Cricetulus griseus: one gene and its partner. The protein of the gene in region 1 interacts with the protein of each later gene in a biochemical or structural test. Links are inferred from orthologs where the notes say so. Each region holds a gene or a part of one and is shown in the gene's direction. Other genes may lie near its edges.

Evidence for each region.
Region 2: the proteins of Fermt2 (region 1) and Ilk form a complex in vitro, tested with the Homo sapiens proteins (2 studies listed by BioGRID). The link is inferred for Cricetulus griseus from reciprocal best matches to the Homo sapiens genes FERMT2 and ILK.

What each region holds. Positions count from the first base shown.
Region 1 is NW_023276807.1:201,465,997-201,469,818, reverse strand, and holds part of Fermt2 (fermitin family homolog 2), read left to right. Parts: intron 1-2,119; coding exon 2,120-2,227; intron 2,228-3,822. UniProt on the Homo sapiens protein: Scaffolding protein that enhances integrin activation mediated by TLN1 and/or TLN2, but activates integrins only weakly by itself. Binds to membranes enriched in phosphoinositides.
Region 2 is NC_048596.1:93,960,076-93,963,679, reverse strand, and holds the end of Ilk (integrin-linked protein kinase), read left to right. Parts: intron 1-346; coding exon 347-512; intron 513-648; coding exon 649-744; intron 745-929; coding exon 930-1,026; intron 1,027-1,121; coding exon 1,122-1,205; intron 1,206-1,304; coding exon 1,305-1,390; intron 1,391-1,528; coding exon 1,529-1,638; intron 1,639-1,718; coding exon 1,719-1,846; intron 1,847-1,922; coding exon 1,923-2,044; intron 2,045-2,128; coding exon 2,129-2,228; intron 2,229-2,338; coding exon 2,339-2,469; intron 2,470-2,642; coding exon 2,643-2,792; 3' UTR 2,793-2,880; downstream 2,881-3,604. UniProt on the Homo sapiens protein: Scaffold protein which mediates protein-protein interactions during a range of cellular events including focal adhesion assembly, cell adhesion and cell migration.

The sequences.
Region 1 (3,822 bases):
TCAGAGATCTGCTGCCTCTGCCTTCCGAGTGCTAGGATTAAAGGCGAGCGCCACCAAACTGGGCTTTATATTGTTTTATAGTCTACATTTTATTTTATCTGATAGCTAACCATTGTTACTTAGTTTCTGTGACTGGTGAGTCTGCTCTGCTATAACTTCACTTTTCCTCTACAATTTAACACAGTGAAAGTCTGTCGTTGTTTCTCCCCAGTGATGGGCACAGAGGTTTGCCTCTTTAGGGGAGAGGGCCTGTCCTGGCTCCCTGCTGTCGCCTTCATGTCTGAATGGTACTTACTCTATCTAGAGCAGTGGTTCTCAACCTTCCAATGCTGTGACCCTTCAATACAGTTCCTCATGTTGTGGCAACCCCCAACCATAAAATTATTTTCATTGCTACTTCATAACTAATTTTGATACTGTTATGAATCATAATATAAATATCCATTTTCTGATGGTTGTGGGCCATCCCTGTGAAAGGGTTATTCAAACCCCAAAGGGATCAGGACCTACAGGTTGAGAACAACTGATCTAGTGTCCTATCTTTCATTGTGTGCTCAAATAATTCTTTATATAACATAGATACAGCAAACTGCATGTAATAGAACTATAAATGTTGTATTTTCAGGCCATATCGTATCTGCTTTTAGTTGTAGGTTGGGGATTAGAATGTTTGGTTAGCATTTTAAGAGAACGTTGCTTTTTGCTAATATAATTAAATGGACAGTCTCATGACATAGATACATATACTTGCCAAAAGTGTGTCTGTACTGTCTGTTTTGGATATTTAAAATAGCCCCTCCTCCCAGGGCCTATCTCTTTGGTATTTCTCCTCTGTGAGTGAGGTATTTCCCAAAGTAATTAATTTGCTCTCATACTGGGTTCTGTTGTGGCAAGTTAGAATAACAGTGTTAAAATCTGTATTTGTACCTTATTTTAATTATTTTCAACTAGATTTCTCATTTTCCTCTCTCCTCCCTCTTTCTCCACTGCCTGCACTTTGAGACAGAATCCATCCATTCTGCATAGGCTGCTTGGAACTTAGTATGAAACCCAGGCTGGCCTCAGACTTCTGATCCCTCAGACTCTGGGTGCTGATTACAACACTGTGTCAGTACCCAGTTTTGTGGGCTTTGTTTTGAGACAGGACCTCGCTGGGCAGCCTAGTTGGCCTAGAAATGAAGGATCCCCTGCGTTAGCTTTCCCAGTGCCAGCACAGCAGTCATGGACCACCATGTCTTCCTTCAAGTTAGACTTCTTAGACTGAAACTGTAACACTGAGTTGTTACATGAACCAACCCCCTTTTTTCCTTCAGTGCGAGGGATCAAATCCTCTCTCATGTCAGGCAACCCCTTCCACCTACTGAGCTACATCCCTGAGTATTTTCTTGTCATTTTATGTCATTTTGAATAGAAAATTAGATGTATCTATAGTCATATCTGACACTAATAGATCTCTTCCTTTTTTAGAATTAACCATTTGATAATGAATATGTAATTTTATTCACTTTTTGTCGTGCTTTAAACATGAGTATTTAGCTGGGTGTTGTGGTGCAGGCTTTTAATGGCAACACCCAGGAGGCAGAGGCAGGAGGATCTCTGAATTGAAGACTTGTTAGTGTAAACAGAAAGTTGCAGACCAACTAAGGCTATGCGGAAAAGGTGGGGAGGGGGTGCTAGAGAGGTGGGTCACTGGTTAAGAAGAGCTCTTGCAGAGGACCCGGGTTTACTTCTCAGCACCCTCTCAGTAGCTTACAAGCATCCGTAACTCCAGTTCCAGGGGACCAAACAGACACCAGGCATGCATGCAGTGTACACATGTGCACAGGAGCAAAACACTCATAAGATAAAACAATTTTATTTAGAGACTTACTATTAAGATTTAGGTGTATGTGAGTTCAGGTGCCCACAGAGGCCATAGATAGCAGAACCCCTTAGGAGCTGTAATTACAGACAATTATGAGCCGTCTTACATGGGTGCTAGGAACTGAACTCTGTTCCTCTACAGTAGCACTCTTAACTGCTGAGCCATCTCTCCAGCCTCAGAAATGAATAGTTCCCATTGAGAACTTTCTGGTATTGAAGACTGTTTGTTAAAGCCCGTGTTTCCTTCCTTCGGCAGTATGATGCTATCAGAATCAATCAGCTTTACGAGCAGGCCAAGTGGGCTCTTCTCCTGGAAGAGATTGAATGCACTGAAGAAGAAATGATGATGTTTGCAGCCTTGCAGGTAAGGAAGACAGAGTGGATGATTCTTAGCAGGGAAGGGGAGAGTGGTGTTAAAGTGGCACGTGGGGCTGGCAAGATGGCCCAGCAAGCAGATGCTTGCTACCAAGCATGGTAACTCAAGTTTGATATCTAGTACCTACTTGGTGGAAGGAGAGGACCAGCTCCCAAAAATCTGCTGAGGCTGGGCATAATGGCACGCCTTTAATCCCAGCCCTGGGGAAGCAGAGGCAGGCAGTTCTCTGTGAGTCTGGGGTAGCTAGGGCTACATAGTGAGACTCTTTTTTTAATGCTGTCCTCTCACCTTCATGTGCACACATGAATGGCACATGCATGCACATACTAAATAGATGAAAATTTTTAAACATTAAAAGTGGACATTTACAAAAGTAAACGTGATTTTCTTCTTCTCCCTCTTTTTTTTTGGGGGGGGGGGTTCTAAACAGGGTTCTCTATTGTAGCCTTGGCTGTCCTGAAACTCACTGTATCCCCGACTGACCTCAAACTCAGAGATCCACCTGCTCTGCCTCCCTAGTTCTGGGATGAAAGGTGTGTGCCACCACGACCCAGCTAATGACTATTTTTTTGTTGTTTAAAAATATTTAAGAATAGGGGCTGGAGAGATGGCTCAGAGGTTAAGAGTACTGGGTGCTCTTCCAGAGGTCCTGAGTTCAAGTCCCAGCAACCACATGGTGGCTCACAGCCCTCTGTAATGAGATCTGGTGCCCTCTTCTGGCATGCAGGCATACATGCCAGCAGAACACTGCATACATAATTAATAACCCCCCTCCCCAAAAGACAGGGTTTCTCTCTAGCTTTGGAGGCTGTCCTGAAACTCACTCTGTAGACCAGGCTGGCCTCAAACTCACAGAGATCCACCTGCCTCTGCTTCTTGAGTGCTGGAATTAAAGGCGTGCACCACTACCACCTGGCTTATAATAAATAAACATATATATATATATATATATATATATATATATATATATATATATATATTCATATATACATATATGAGTCAGTGGTGCGTTTGGTTACTTTCCTATATCTTGTAGAAAAATTGGTCTTTTCCCCTCCCCCCAGTGTATAGTAACTTGAAGCTAACTCAGTTTTCTCTTAGAAATAAAATGCTAATAATATTAAATTGATGATAAGGCACATTGCAAACTGGCGGTGGCAGATATAACACCTTTAAATAATAAGAGTTCAAGAGACAAGGATAAACATAAATGTTTTTACAATATTAATTATTAAGCAGAAAGCTAATGTTTCTTTAAACTAATATTTTTCCACATGTGGGCTTTGGATACCACATGCTTCAGAATTATATTATTACTTATTAAAAAATTAATTCCCATTACTGATCCACCCTCCAGTGGAATGGCTTTAGACAAATCAGTGTGCTTAGAAGCAGTGAGGTCCATTGTCACCAGACTGACTCTCTTCAGATGTCAGTGTGCCTGAGTGGGGCTTTGGCAAGCATTCCTGGCCTGTAATGGGATTCTAGTCTTCCCTAAGGTCCCAGTGCAATTGATATTCTTTAAATAGAAATGGGAGAAGCAAGGCTGGCCCTCACCCTGAGGATTTCACTTCTTTACTCAG
Region 2 (3,604 bases), on another chromosome or scaffold:
ATACATAGCATATGCCAAGTATGTACAAGGCCCTGGGTTTGACTCCTAGTACTGTCAATCAAGGAGCAGCAGACGCCAAAGAACCCAGAAGAGTGCTATCACCTAATGAAGAACTGCTAGGGAAGAGGATCTAGGAGATGGTCATTAAAGTAATAAACCTTACAGTTGTTGGGACATCTGAGTGACTGGGTGTGAAGCTCAAGGGAAAATCTGAATTGAACTTTGTGAATTGCTGACATGAGTAAAAATTAAGTACTAGAGAGGCAAGCCTTCTCAGTGAATATAGAATTCTCCCATCAAAGCTTTTGTCCCTCCCAACCTCCAATTCCATGCCTCTTTCTCAAAGGGATGATCATGGCTTCTCCCCCTTGCACTGGGCCTGCCGAGAAGGCCGCTCTGCGGTGGTTGAAATGCTGATCATGAGAGGAGCACGTATCAATGTGATGAATCGTGGGGATGATACCCCCCTGCACCTGGCAGCCAGTCATGGACACCGTGACATTGTACAGAAGGTATGGGCAAACCCTTCAACACCCACATCTCACATGTACACAATTGTGAAGTCAGTAACAGCTATTGTCACATGGAGAATGTGTACTATCTAAATTTGGGACTATATTCTTTTCTTTTCTTGGCCATGGGGCGCAGCTGTTGCAATACAAGGCTGACATCAATGCAGTGAATGAGCATGGGAATGTGCCCCTTCACTATGCCTGTTTCTGGGGTCAAGACCAGGTGGCAGAGGTAAGTACTCAGACCTAAGTCCTAGGATGAGTGGGAAACAAATTGAGCATGGAACCATCAACCCATCCTGTCAATCCTACTGTGTGACACTTACAGGACAGTACACTGCATCTCTGTTCGTGCTTGCTTGTGACACAGTTAACAGCCCCCCCTCCCCCTGAATAAAAATTATCTTTTCTTTGCAGGACCTGGTGGCTAACGGGGCTCTTGTCAGCATCTGTAACAAGTATGGAGAGATGCCTGTTGACAAAGCCAAGGCACCCCTTAGAGAGCTTCTCCGAGGTCCATTCCCTACCCCTAGCTTGTGTCCTCTTGTCCTATCTTGCATCTCTTCCCTCTATATCACAGTTAAGGCTAAGACTGTTTTTCCTCCCCAGAACGGGCAGAGAAGATGGGCCAGAATCTCAACCGTATTCCATACAAGGACACATTCTGGAAGGGGACCACTCGTACTCGGCCCCGTGAGTCACTGCTGTGGGGGGAAGGGCTGTAATTCAGGATCCTGGGCTAGTGAAGTGGGTTAGGGTGAAGCTGGGTACCTGACCTACCCATATTCTCAGGAAATGGGACCCTGAACAAACACTCCGGTATTGACTTCAAACAGCTCAACTTTCTGGCAAAGCTCAACGAGAATCATTCTGGAGAGGTGATCCCTGCCCTTCTTGCCCCTCCCTCTCTAACACTCACAAACTGCCACTCTGTATCTCTAAGGTTTTCTTCCAGTTAATAGAAAGGAAATAGTATAGCCTGAGCTAATACCGCCTAACCTCTACCTGTCCTTCAGCTATGGAAAGGCCGCTGGCAGAGCAATGACATTGTTGTGAAGGTGCTGAAGGTTCGAGACTGGAGTACAAGGAAAAGCAGGGACTTCAATGAAGAGTGTCCCCGGCTCAGGTGGGACAGCAAAAGTGGAAGCCCAAATAGTACTGAAAAGGGAAATTCTGTTGGGTCTCACCACTCTCTCCCTCTCCCAGGATTTTCTCACATCCAAACGTGCTTCCAGTGCTAGGAGCTTGCCAGGCTCCACCAGCTCCCCACCCAACCCTTATCACACACTGGATGCCATATGGATCTCTCTACAATGTACTACATGAAGGCACCAGTAAGGATACTGGCCTTGTTGGGGAGGGACTAAAATAGGGGTGGTAAACTCTAAATTAATTCTTGCTTCCGGTTAGATTTCGTTGTGGACCAGAGCCAAGCTGTAAAGTTTGCTTTGGACATGGCAAGAGGCATGGCTTTTCTACACACACTAGAGCCTCTCATACCTCGACATGCACTAAATAGCCGTAGTGTAATGGTGAGTCCACAAGTTCACTACTGGTCCCCAAAGCCCTCTGCATGCCTACAATAGGGCCCACCTTTTTGAACTTCTCTTCCTCAGATCGATGAAGACATGACTGCTCGAATCAGCATGGCTGATGTCAAGTTTTCTTTCCAGTGCCCAGGGCGCATGTATGCACCTGCCTGGGTGGCCCCTGAAGGTAGGTGAAGGCATCATGTTGGGAATTGAGAAGAACCAACACAATAACAGTGGAAGAGGCAGAGATAGGACAGGCTAGGCAGCTGGAGTAGTAAGCCCTCTTCCTTCCAGCCCTGCAGAAGAAGCCTGAAGACACTAACAGACGCTCAGCAGACATGTGGAGCTTTGCAGTGCTTCTGTGGGAACTGGTGACACGAGAGGTGCCCTTTGCTGACCTCTCTAATATGGAGATCGGAATGAAGGTGAGCATAGAACTGCACATACTTGTATAGGGGTAGTGGTGCTGACAATTGCTGTGGCAAGCTCTTCTCACAATTTGTGCAGATTTATAGTAATCCCATTGAAGGGTCAAAAGTTTTTTTACCATATGATTAACTCCAACTCTGAAGTTCACCTTGTTCCTTGTAATTTCCAGGTGGCACTGGAAGGCCTTCGGCCTACAATTCCACCAGGTATTTCCCCACACGTGTGTAAGCTCATGAAGATTTGTATGAATGAAGATCCTGCAAAGCGACCCAAGTTTGACATGATTGTGCCTATCCTGGAGAAGATGCAAGACAAGTAGGACTGGAAGGTCCTGGCCCAGACTCCAGAGGTGTCAAAACAAGGTTGGGGGAGTGTACTTCCCCAAAGCTGAAGGCCTCTGGTTGCCTCCCGTCTCCAATCATGGTACTACCCCAGTTATGGGGCTCATCCCTGCTCCCATCCCTACCACTGTAGCCCCAAAAGGGGCTGGGCTCAAGAGCTTTGTCACTTGCCACATGATGTCTCCCAACATGGGAGGGATAAGCCCTGCCTGTCACAATAAAGTTTATTATGAAAACAGGCTGGTGTGGGGACAGAGGGAAAGACAAATACATCTGGGTTAGGTGGCTCAGGTGAAGTAGTGCGGCTTCTTCACATTGATACCATATTCACTGAGGGCAGGGGTCAAGTCCTCCATGGTTAGGGTGTACTTGCGGTCCTAAGGGAAGAGGGAAGACCACCAGCTGAGCACAGTAATCCCAGATTCCAGTCCCTCGTAGATAACCCTGAGTAGGCCCAATACCGCCCCTAGGATGCTGCTTCCCAAAGGGGTTTCAGGATAAGTTAAGCCTGTACTGCTGTGGAAGGTGAGCCGCCTTTCACACCTTGCTCTTGCTCCGGGAGCTGCCAGAGGCTGTACCCTTCATTTTGCAGTGCTGTAGGGCATCGTTGGCAATATCTGAGATGAATTTCTGGGCAGCAAGTGAGATGAGCCGAATTCTAGAGAGAAAAGTGGGGGTGGGGGTGGAGTAATGAGACATATAACAAACTGCACCCAGCACTCAACAGTCTAACCTACCCTGAGTTTACTACTCACATGCGTGGGTCTGAAGCTTCAAAGCCAGCACGGTT